Rattus norvegicus: one gene and its partner. The protein of the gene in region 1 interacts with the protein of each later gene in a pairwise test. Links are inferred from orthologs where the notes say so. Each region holds a gene or a part of one and is shown on either strand. Other genes may lie near its edges.

What was found.
Region 2: the proteins of Snw1 (region 1) and Bicd2 interact in binary tests that used the Homo sapiens proteins (3 or more experiments, as listed by UniProt). The link is inferred for Rattus norvegicus from reciprocal best matches to the Homo sapiens genes SNW1 and BICD2.

The regions. Positions count from the first base shown.
Region 1 is NC_086024.1:112,842,385-112,848,290, forward strand, and holds part of Snw1 (SNW domain-containing protein 1), read right to left. Parts: exon of another isoform or gene 4,845-5,906; coding exon 4,691-4,844; intron 1,231-4,690; coding exon 1,069-1,230; intron 1-1,068. UniProt on the Homo sapiens protein: Involved in pre-mRNA splicing as component of the spliceosome. As a component of the minor spliceosome, involved in the splicing of U12-type introns in pre-mRNAs.
Region 2 is NC_086035.1:15,475,285-15,481,190, forward strand, and holds part of Bicd2 (protein bicaudal D homolog 2), read right to left. Parts: intron 4,213-5,906; coding exon 4,060-4,212; intron 1-4,059. UniProt on the Homo sapiens protein: Acts as an adapter protein linking the dynein motor complex to various cargos and converts dynein from a non-processive to a highly processive motor in the presence of dynactin.

The sequences.
Region 1 (5,906 bases):
GAAAACCTGACGTATCTTAGCATCGCTGAACCTAAGGAAATTCTCTCTCCTATCAAGGGTGAGAGGAAAGAGAACACAGCTAGGCCTTCAAAACAGTTCCTCAGCTGAGTACAGCCCTCTGCGATGAGACTAAGTGTTATGTTGTGTCTTTGGATTACTCTTTAAAGATGGGTGACAAGGGCAGTCTGTGTTACATCCAAATGAACTATTCAAATAAGAACTGGGGATGTAGCTCAGTGGTGGAGCCTAGGCTTGGCATAAGACAAAATCCTGGGTTGGATCGCCAGTACCACCCAGAAAAAGTAAAGAAAGCAAGCACCCGTGTAAGCTTTCCTCAAGTACATGGAGGGAACTTTGTCTACAGACAAAAGTAAAAGCTGATTTGGGGCCAGGGGCACAGTTCAGGTGCAGAACAATTGCCTAGCATACTTGAGGCCCTGGGTTTCATCTCTAACAAGACCAAAAACAAAACTAATTTTTTTTTAAGAGTCTACCAATTACTGCCTTTTAGAGTTTGGCAGCACTTCTGAAATACCATATAACTTTTTGGAATACAAAACAAAAACCTAAGTACAAAAGTTGTCACTGTTGGGTGTGGTCTACAGCACAGCATGGGGAGGGTAAAGGAAGGAGTGTCTGAGCTCAAGGCCAGCCTGGGCTATATGCTGAGACTCTGTTTTAAAGGGGAGAGCAGTGAGCACCAAGCTTTGATTACCAAGCTTCGCAGAACTGCAGGTACAGTTTCAAAGGTCTATTTATTTTATTGTATGTGTATGAATGTTTTGCCTGCACATATGTATGTGTATCATGTGCATGCCTAGTTCCACTGGAGGTCAGAAGAAGGCATCAGATCCCCTGGAACTGGAGTTACGTGTGAGTGCTGGGAATTGAACTCAGATCCTTTGCAAGAACAAGTGTTTGTAACCACTGAACCATGTCTCCAGCCCCAACTCCACTGTTACTTTTACATAATCCACAACGGCAAGTGGTTTATCATTTTCACAAGATGTAACACACATCACAAATATTTATCAATAAGAAAACCAAACAAAACCAATGAGAGATTACCTTGTCTTTGGACTGTCCCTGTCGAGCAATTGCATCATATTTAATTTTCCCTTCAGGATCCACCTGAATGGCCAGTGCATTCGACATTTTTTTCTTTCGCCCCATATCCAGAGGATACTGGGCCACATGGATTTCTGGGAAAGCGCCTCCATCTCCAAAATCCTGTGTATTTCAAGAAAAGAAGTACAAAGACTGTTTAGTAGAGTAGCAATTCATTCAAGCTAGCAAATCTATGCTTGCTATGAGTGACAGCAGTAAACAAAAGCAAGTCTCCATCTTGAACAGGCTATGTTTAGTGAGAAAAGGTATAAAAACAGACTGAGTGTAAGGAGCACCATGCGGATCACGCAGGTCCTGGGAAGAGGCACCGTCTTACTTCCAGGGGAGCAGCTGTGGGGCCTTTAAAGAAATAAAACACAAAAGCAGGGTTTGGGGATTTAGCTCAGTGGTAGAGCGCTTGCCTAGGAAGCGCAAGGCCCTGGGTTCGGTCCCCAGCTCCGAAAAAAAGAACCAAAAAAAAAAAAAAAAACCACAAAAGCAAAGGAGAAAGATCCAAGCTGTGGTGGAAGAGACAGTGTGTGTGAATGCTCGGCCCACAGGGAATGACACGATTAGGAGACGTGGCCTTGTTGAAGTACATCACTGTGAGGACAGACTTTGCTGTCCCTTACATGTTCAGGCAATATCCAGTGTGGCACGCAGTCTCCTGCTGCTGCCTTTGGAACAAGATGTAGAACTCCCAGGTCTTTCTCCAGCACCATGTCTGCCTGGACACTGCCATACTTCCCACCATAATGGACTGAACCTCTGAAACCATAAGCCAGCCCCAATTAAATGTTTTCCTTTATAAGAGTGGCCTTGATCCCAGTGTCTTTTCACAGCAACAAAACCCAAACCCAGACATAAGGGAAGCATTTTCTTTTTCTTTTTTTGTAAGCTAGAGGGAAAGAGAGAGAGAGAGAGAGAGAGGGAGAGAGAGAGAGAGAGAGAGAGAGAGAGTGAGTGTGTGTGTATGAGTGTGTGCATGCATGCATGCGTGCATGCGTGCTGGGACTGAAGGCATACACCACCATGTCTGGCTCCCTAATAGTTTTAAATCAACACAGTCTTTGTTGATTTACATAGACTTTGTTGATTTAAAACTAAAAAACCAAAACAAAACCAAACCAAAACAAAAAACCCCCAAAACTCTGAAGTTTGAACAACTTTAGGTCCTAAATAGATTATTTATATAATCTATTATACTCAATTCCCATTACCAAGAATGTTAGAAAAAGTGAAATTCATCAACAAGAGGATATTTACTGAAAAATAAACTCGTTTTTATAAGTTTTTTTTTTTTTTTTTTTTTCCGGGGCTGGGGACCGAACTCGTTTTTATAAGTTTTTAAAACAGAATATTTTGTTAAATCTTGGATGTGAATTTCTAGCCACAATATGCTTATTTACTGGATACGGTTGAGGTTTTTGAAAACGAACGAATCAAGTGAAAAAGCTATATTCTTGTAAATTAGGCAGAAATAAAGCCTTCCTAAGAAAAGTGCCTTCCTGTACTCAGACCATCAATCTGACACATGCTCAGAGTCACTGAGCTCTTCGACTGTAATCAGCACTTCACAACTGTAGCTGTAGCATTATGTGGTCGTTAACCCTGCCAGAAAAATCACAGCTTTTACTGTGAAAACTACAACAAAATGCCTTCTTCAGAGGACAGCCACTCCCCGCAAAGCACCCTGGCATTTTCAGATTAGCTGGCCACTCAAGTTTGATTTCCAAATGAACTGCTCTGATCCACCAGCATATATAAAACTTTGATAATCAATTAAGACTAGAAAAGCTAACAGCCACCAGATGTCAGAAAGCTCAAAAGCTTTTGTATGAAAAATGAAGCCTGCGGTCCCCACTCTTTAATCCAGGGAACCCCCCCCAACCCCCATGCCCCATCTATAACCTCTTGGAAAGGACACTAAGTACAATTATATAATGCCTGCCATCACTACCTTTTGGCTGCAGACAGGAATAGCTTATCTAGGAGGCTGGAATGCCTTCCTATCTTGTCATGTACCTCACTAATTCCAGACGGAATAAAACCAAAATCCCTAACAACATCAAGACAGGTTTCACAGTACAAAACCCAACAAAACCCTAGGCTATGTTACAGCAAGGCAGGGTGGGCCTTGTTAGGTGCTCAGTTTCTTGACCTGACAGAGTGGACAGAGGCAGCGAACGAGGAAGAGACAGTGCAGAAGGCTTTAGGCAAGACGCTGAGCAATGTTTCTATTCAAAGATACTAGCAGCACACCTGGAGGCAGACTGAAAACAGGCAGAGACCTTATGTATGAGGCAGACGTCATAACCAGGTAAGAAAGCGCTACACATGACTGGAGAGTTGGCTCGGTGTTTAAGAGCACCGGCTGCTCTTTGTGGAGAACTCAAATTGGTTCCTAGGACCCACTTTTAACACCCACTGCAAGGCCCGATTCTGATCTCCAAGGGCCCTGCATGAATGTGGTACACAGATGTATATGCAGGCAAAACACCCAGACATGTAAAATAACTTAATCTCTTTAATCTCTCATGCTGATCTTTATTTTTCGAGACAGTTTCCCTGTATAACCCTGGCTGACCTCAAACTCACAATCTACTTGCTTCTGCCTCCTGGGTGCTTGGACTATAGGAATGCACCACCATATCCAGGCAAAGGGAAGATCATTTAATACAAACATAATATATAAAAGTCTATTAGCTGCTGAGCTATCTCTTCAGCCCAGATAGGTTAAGTCTCAGATGTTTACTTTTCTCTCCAGGTAAGGAAGATGGGCAAATATGTGAAATGCTCACAGGATTCTGTGTAATCAGGAAAATATGGGTTGCTAAGGAAATTACTTCTTTGGAGACAAATCGGAGGTACAGAAAGATCTTTGCTCCACCAAATCAACCAAAGCTTAGCTTTCATTTCCTAAAAATGTATGTGTGTAACATCATGACAGGTATGTGCTAACATTCGCAAACTGGAGATTTAAAAAGCACTGACAAGAGACACTACCGGGGCTTCCCTGGAGAAGGCATCTCTTCGGAGTTGTGACATGGCATTATTTTCATCACTGACGGTGGGATAGGATGAACACAACTCAAATGCAAACCCACTCTGATTCTTCTCCTTACAAAGAGTTCAGATTTTTATTTTATTATTACTAGTGTATGTGTGACAGAGAAAGAGAGGGAGGGGAGGTAGAGAGAGAAAAAGCACATGCCCACGCCACAGTGCTTGTAAGAAAAAAGTTTTGGGAACACATTCTCTTTTCACTATGGAATCAAATTCAAAATGTCAGGTTTGTGCAGCAAACGGGCCACCTGCCCGCTCGTGTATTTGTATTGCCCTTTCCCATTATTGCTCATGTGCTGTAAGGCTTACACTTGTAAAGGTAAGCTGGCTCCTGTACACGTTGAGTAGTTCAGCACAACAAGAATGAGAAGAGTGATCACTGACCATGACAGTAAGAAGAAAGTCGTTGCAAGGAAGAACACACTTTCTCAAAGGAGCACTGCATGGCTGTAACCACCACCCTCCAGGGTTCAAACTGACCTTCCAAGTGTACAGTAGTACACTTCAGCCCAGTTACCTCTAAGAGTCTTGGAATCCAGCCTTTCCTGTATCCGTATGGGGGAGGCTCCCTTCGAGAGGAGACCAGGGAGGTCTGTCGTGATCTCTGAGATCTTGCCCTTTCTTCAGCTTCAAGTTGGTCCTGAGATAGCTGGGTAGGCGCAGGTAAAAAGCTACAGGAAATCAAAGTCGGAATTTAATTATCACGATTCAGCTATGATATTCCTTTGCTTAGCATATAGACTTTTCAATGATTTATAGAGTCATTCAATCATTACATCCTTATGGGTGGAAGGGTAAAAAACCCCTTGACTATGGCAAGGACAAATGCTTGTCTAGACTTAAAAACAGAGCTTTTTTTTTTTTTTTTTTTTTTTTTTTAAACAAAGCTGATAAGCTGCAGGTTTCTGTCTTCCTATACTTTATACAGAAGCCAACCTCCAGCACATGGTTTCCTAAGAATCCTTCCTAATTTTTGTTTAACAAGGTCTAATGAGGTAGCCCAAACTGCTCTTCAACTTGCTACCCTCTAGACTCACCCTCTAGACTTCTGAGATTATAGAGGAATTTAACACTATGCTACTGTGCTTTCCTATTGTTTTGTGTCTGTCTTTCCTTCCATTTTTTTCCCTCTGGAGACAGGGCCTCATTGTATAGATCCAGGTGCTTCCCCAGTTCTGGGATTAAAGCTCTCTAGCGGGGTTGGGGATTTAGCTCAGTGGTAGAGCACTTGCCTAGCAATCTCAAGGCCCTGGGTTCGGTCCCCAGCTCCGGAAGAAAAAAAAGAAAAAAAAAGCTCTCTAGTCCCTCTATCTTTCTGCATTATGATTAACTAATCATTTACCAGACTGAGCAACCTGAGAGTAGGAACTGCATCTTGTGCTTCTTTTGTCCCTAACTGTCCCAGCACCCTGTCTGGTAACAGGAGTTGCTCCAATATTTCCAAGAGTTTCACTCTGCCCTTTGCAGTCATGGTTTTGCAACACAGCAGTCTTCCTGCCTTTACTTAAACAAGCCATCTCAAAACCTTTGCCAAAAAATATTAAAGATTTACCAGGAATGTTCTTAAACTTACTTATTAAGGGTCTCACTGTGTAGCCCAGGCTGACCTCAAACGTTTCCCACACACCAAGCAAACAAGTGATACTCCAGCAGACTGCAGCTAGGCACTTCCTAATTCAGTTCAGTCCCCAGAGACTGAGGACTCAATACCACTGGAGTGCCTCTACTTCCAA
Region 2 (5,906 bases), on another chromosome or scaffold:
AAATTCAAATACTCCCACGTCAAGACAGTGTAGAGGCTCCACTCAGGTGATAAAGAAGGACAATGTCAGAACACCACCTCCCCAAGCACAAAGAACAAGGATACACACAGAATGAAATGCCATTCTGCAGAAGAGGGCAATGGCTGCAGTTAGGGCCACTTGCTACATGGAGCAAGACGGACGCTAAGGGGGGCCTCTAGAGCACTAGAAGCAACAGAAACTTCCAGCCCCACTGCCAGGGCCAGTGTGCCTGGAGTGTGCACATGAAACCTGCAATGCCACGGCTAAGCACTCACCATGGAGGCTGCCAGATTTCTTTTATGTTTCTGAAAATTAGTACCAGTATGCACTGATTCTATAGTACTCAGTTAACATTAACACCTATCCAAATCTCTATTAAATGTGTGTGCATGAAGTATGTGTGCATGAAGTATGTGTGCATGAAGTATGTGTGCATGAAGTATGTGTGCATGAAGTATGTGTGCATGATGTATGTGTGCCTGATGTATGTGTGCATGATGTATGTGTGCATGAACTATGTGTGCCTGTTGTATGTGTGCATGATGTATGTGTGCATGAAGTATGTGTGCAAGAAGTATGTGTGCATGAAGTATGTGTGCATGAAGTATGTGTGCATGATGTATGTGTGCATGAAGTATGTGTTCATGATGTATGTGTACATGATGTATGTGTGCATGATGTATGTGTGCATGATGTATGTGTGCATGAAGTATGTGTGCATGATGTATGTGTGCATGAAGTATGTGTGCATGATGTATGTATGCATGATGTATGTGTGCATGAAGTATGTGTGCATGATGTATGTGTGCATGATGTATGTGTGCAGGTACCCACATAACTGTGTGTAGGTGGAGGCTCTCTCCTTCCACTTTACGTATATGAGCTATGGGAACTGAGCTCAGGTCACTCGGCTCGCACTGCAAACGCCTTTCTTTACCCACTGAGCCACTTCACCAGACATAACCAGATATCTTTTTTTTTTTTTTTTTGTTCTTTTTTTCGGAGCTGGGAACCAAACCCAGGGCCTTGCACTTCCTAGGCAAGCGCTCTACCACTGAGCTAAATCCCCAACCCATAACTAGATATCTTAAGGCACATAAAATATATCTTTCCTGTGCGCTATCACCACTATTTTGAGTCATATTTCAAAACAAGTAAACTGGACTTGCCCTTCGGGCTGAATGCCTCAGCACAATGCAGGCTTGGGAGACTTGCAAGGTGACATGTCTTGTTAATGTGACACAACTTAGGAGTGGATGAAGGAGGAGTAAATGGAGAGTTGGTGCTTAACATGAGGCTCGGGGTTTGTGGGCAGACAGTAAACATCTTACTCTAACAGTAAGGAAGCAATGAATGACTCTCTCCAGGTTTGGGGTGGGAAGGAAAACTTGATACAATATCATAAGTGTGCCCACATTCCAGTGCCTCAAATAGGGGTGAGGAATCTCAGCCTGGGAATGGCACCACTGTGAGGGTGGTCTCCTTGAGGGTCAGTTTTCTTCTCCTCAGGGCAATGTGGGCAGAAGCGCCAATCAATGCCCAATGGCACCTCATGCTTATGAGCTACAGGATGGAACTGTGAGTCCTGCTCCTGTGGTTTTCCAGTACCAGGATCCATCCCTTGACTGCTGTGCAAACATGAAAACTTTTACACAGACACGCATGGGCTTCCTCATGCATGGGTGGGATAAATACTGGGTCCCTGAAGGCGAGGCCTCAGCAGGAAGATGATGGAGTACTAGAGGGTTCTAACAAAAGCATCCATGGCACTTGAGGGTAGAGTCGGAACTTCCTGACAAGGAAGAAGTTCCCTGCTACCTGCAGACCTTAGGGTGTCTCTGAGCATGGGGCACATGTCCAGGTGCTGTGTGGTTCTTAGCCTTACCCATCCAGAAGGACTCCCTAACCCCTGCCACAGGCAGAGGGGACACCCTCCATCCCTACAACAGGCAGAGTCATGCAGTATTTCAGGCTTCATGGTAAGTCTCTGGGGGTTTTAGTTCACCCTGTTCATCTACCTGAGTTTCCCCCATACCTTAGTGATGTGGAACACTGAACTCCAGGCATGACATGGCCCTTGCTGTCTCGAAATCAGAGCAGCCATGATTACCCAGCTCGGAGACCCTCACAAGACCACGCCTACATATGTGCTCTCATAGAAGGAAGGGTAAAGTGCATTAGACCCTCACCCAAGATTCCAGCCATTCCCCCTTCCTGTATCCTCCCCCCAATCTTGCCCAAGGATCTCAGAGGCTGCTAGAGTAGACAGGAAACAGAAGGTTAAATGAAGAGAGAACTCCATCTAGCGACTGTTAGAGGTCATCACCCGTGACAAGATGGAAGTGTTCTTAGTGATGTAGTAACCCCTCACCCATGCCCCTGTAACCCCTCACCCATGCCCCTGTAACCCCTCACCCATGCCCCTGTAACCCCTCACCCATGCCCCTGTAACCCCTCACCCATGCCCCTGTAACCCCTCACCCATGCCCCTGTAACCCCTCACCCATGCCCCAGTAACCCCTCACCCATGCCCCTGTAACCCCTCACCCATGCCCCTGTAACCCCTCACCCATGCCCCAGTAACCCCTCACCCATGCCCCTGTAACCCCTCACCCATGCCCCAGTAACCCCTCACCCATGCCCCTGTAACCCCTCACCCATGCCCCTGTAACCCCTCACCCATGCCCCTGTAACCCCTCACCCATGCCCCTGTAACCCCTCACCCATGCCCCTGTAACCCCTCACCCATGCCCCTGTAACCCCTCACCCATGCCCCAGTAACCCCTCACCCATGCCCCTGTAACCCCTCACCCATGCCCCTGTAACCCCTCACCCATGCCCCAGTAACCCCTCACCCATGCCCCTGTAACCCCTCACCCATGCCCCTGTAACCCCTCACCCATGCCCCTGTAACCCCTCACCCATGCCCCTGTAACCCCTCACCCATGCCCCAGTAACCCCTCACCCATGCCCCTGTAACCCCTCACCCATGCCCCTGTAACCCCTCACCCATGCCCCAGTAACCCCTCACCCATGCCCCTGTAACCCCTCACCCATGCCCCTGTAACCCCTCACCCATGCCCCAGTAACCCCTCACCCATGCCCCTGTAACCCCTCACCCATGCCCCTGTAACCCCTCACCCATGCCCCAGTAACCCCTCACCCATGCCCCTGTAACCCCTCACCCATGCCCCTGTAACCCCTCACCCATGCCCCTGTAACCCCTCACCCATGCCCCTGTAACCCCTCACCCATGCCCCAGTAACCCCTCACCCATGCCCCTGTAACCCCTCACCCATGCCCCAGTAACCCCTCACCCATGCCCCTGTAACCCCTCACCCATGCCCCTGTAACCCCTCACCCATGCCCCAGTAACCCCTCACCCATGCCCCTGTAACCCCTCACCCATGCTCCTGTAACCCCTCACCCATGCCCCAGTAACCCCTCACCTATGCCCCTGTAACCCCTCACCCATGCCCCTGTAACCCCTCACCCATGCTCCTGTAACCCCTCACCCATGCTTCTGTAACCCCTCACCTATGCCCCTGTAGACCCTCGCCTATACCCCTGTAACCCCTTGCCTATGCCCCTGTAAACCCTCACCTGCCCCTGTAACCCCTCACCTATGCCCCTGTAACCCCTCACCTATGCCCCTATAACTCCTCACCTATGCCTCTGTGAGTAACCCTTCACCCATATTCCTATGATTTATCCTCAGTCATGCTCCTGTAAGTAAGCTCAATATTTTCACTGGTTCCCCAAGGTAGCTTTTCTGGTATGCCATCAGTACCCTATCTTTGCTGAGCAGAAACAGATTCCCCAGGAAGGCTACACTTGGCCTGGGAAATTGTCATACTAAAGTCACAGGCCTTGTTTCATGCTCTTGCAGTGCTAGGGGCTGTGTGTTTTATTCCCCTGTCTCCACTGTGGAACTACCACTGGTCCTGGCCTCAGATATGTGGACCGAGGTAGAGAAGGGGAAGGTGGGTGGATGAAAGGACTTAGATGCCTAGAGATAACCCTACTCTCGAGACTCGCCTGGTTCTGCCTGAGCACAGACACTTGTTTCTGCAGGCTAATGTTCTCCTCCTCCAGCTCAGAGTAGTCCTGAAGTAGACGGGCCTCCCGGAACTTGTACTCCTTGATGTCATCTCGCAGGCGACCACGCTGAATCTCCACATTCTGGTTGATCTGCAGGGCAGAGAAAAGAGCTGTGTGGGTTACTTCTATAGCTGGCTACCAATTGTATTTCCAAGTATCCCAGAGGGCTCAGCACAGCCTGGTACGCTGGGAGCCCTTTGGGCTACAATGTGGCTGCGTGGAGGAGAGAAGCCCAGGGCCATGGGGTCTGTGCAGAGCAGCAGACAATCCTCAGTCAGATCTCTTCTACTTCTCTTAGCTGCGGGACTTGAGGCAAATGACCCGACCTGCTCTAACCCTGCTGAGCTCACAGGCTTCAGGTGCTCACCCAGCTGAAGCAGTAAGGGAGAATGGGGAGACAGGGAGATGGGTTACAGTATACAGCTGAACAAGGAGGAGGGTTTAGCTAATCTAGGTAGGAGCAATCTGTGAGGGGAGCAGTCTTCAGGCCACACACATCAGGCAGAGACATTCTCTGCACATGGTCAGCAGTCACATTTGGACTAAAGGAAGACACTGCCATCCCTCTAAGCCTCACTAGGAAGGCTTTGCCATTCTCCTGGACCTGAGCAAGGCACTGGTGTCCCTAACACAGCCATGCCCACATCAAACATCAAACAATACACTTCACTCAGGACTTTGCTCACGCCCTTACTCTGACCCCTTTGATCTATCTGCAAGATGGGGCCATCTGAGTGGTAAACTGGTAAGTGGGGCAATACTGGGGCTCGTTTGCCTATGTTTACACCAGAGAATAAAGCACACCCACACAGAACCTTGCACATCAGTGTTCCCAGTGTTCCTGGTGGACACGGCCCAAGTATCCATTGGCAAAGGAATGGATAAACAAAACATGGTCTGTGAAAGCCACATTACGGAATGACGTCTTGACACTTGCTACAACACGAATGAGCGCAAAGACATTCTGCTAAGTCAAAGAAGCAGCAAAGAGCTGTGCACTGTATGATTGCATCTATAAGAAAGACCAGGGGTTGGGGATTTAGCTCAGTGGTAGAGCACTTGCCTAGCAAGCGCAGGGCCTTGGGTTCGGTCCCCAGCTCTGAAAGAAAAAAAAAGAAAGAAAGAAAGAAAGAGAGAAAGAAAGAAAGAAAGACAGACAGACAGACAGACCGACCGACCAGGGGGTTGGGGATTTAGCTCAGTGGTAGAGCGCTTGCCTAGGAAGCGCAAGGCCCTGAGTTCGGTCCCCAGCTCTGAAAAAAAGAACCAAAAAAAAAAAAAAAAAGAAAGACCAGAACAGGAAAGTAGACTAGTGGGGCTAAAGAGGGGTTTGAGAGTAACTGCCAAACAGGCCTCATTCTGGAATGATGAAATACTCTAAGGCAGGGAGGGTGTATCAGCGGAGAGGGCTTGACCGGCACTGAATACAAGGCCCTGGGTTCAATCCTCAGCACCGCAAAAGATAAACAACCATAGAATGGTGCACACACCTATGACTATGGAGATGCTGAGGGGACAGAGCTAGGGAGGGCAGAGCAGTGAGACTGGGCTCGTTGCTCTGGGTTCTGGAGCAGGCATGCTGTTGGTCTGGGGAGGCCATGGAACATCAGGAACAGGGATGAGAAGCAAGACTGAAGTGCATTTTTAAGTGTGTTGGATGGGATGGTTACCCTCTCAATAAAGCTGCTGAGGGCTGGTTTCTGCCTCCAAGTCCTGTGTAAGGAGTTGGGAAGACTGTCACAGAGAGAGGCTAGTTCAGGGCCAAAAGGCTCACAACAAACCAG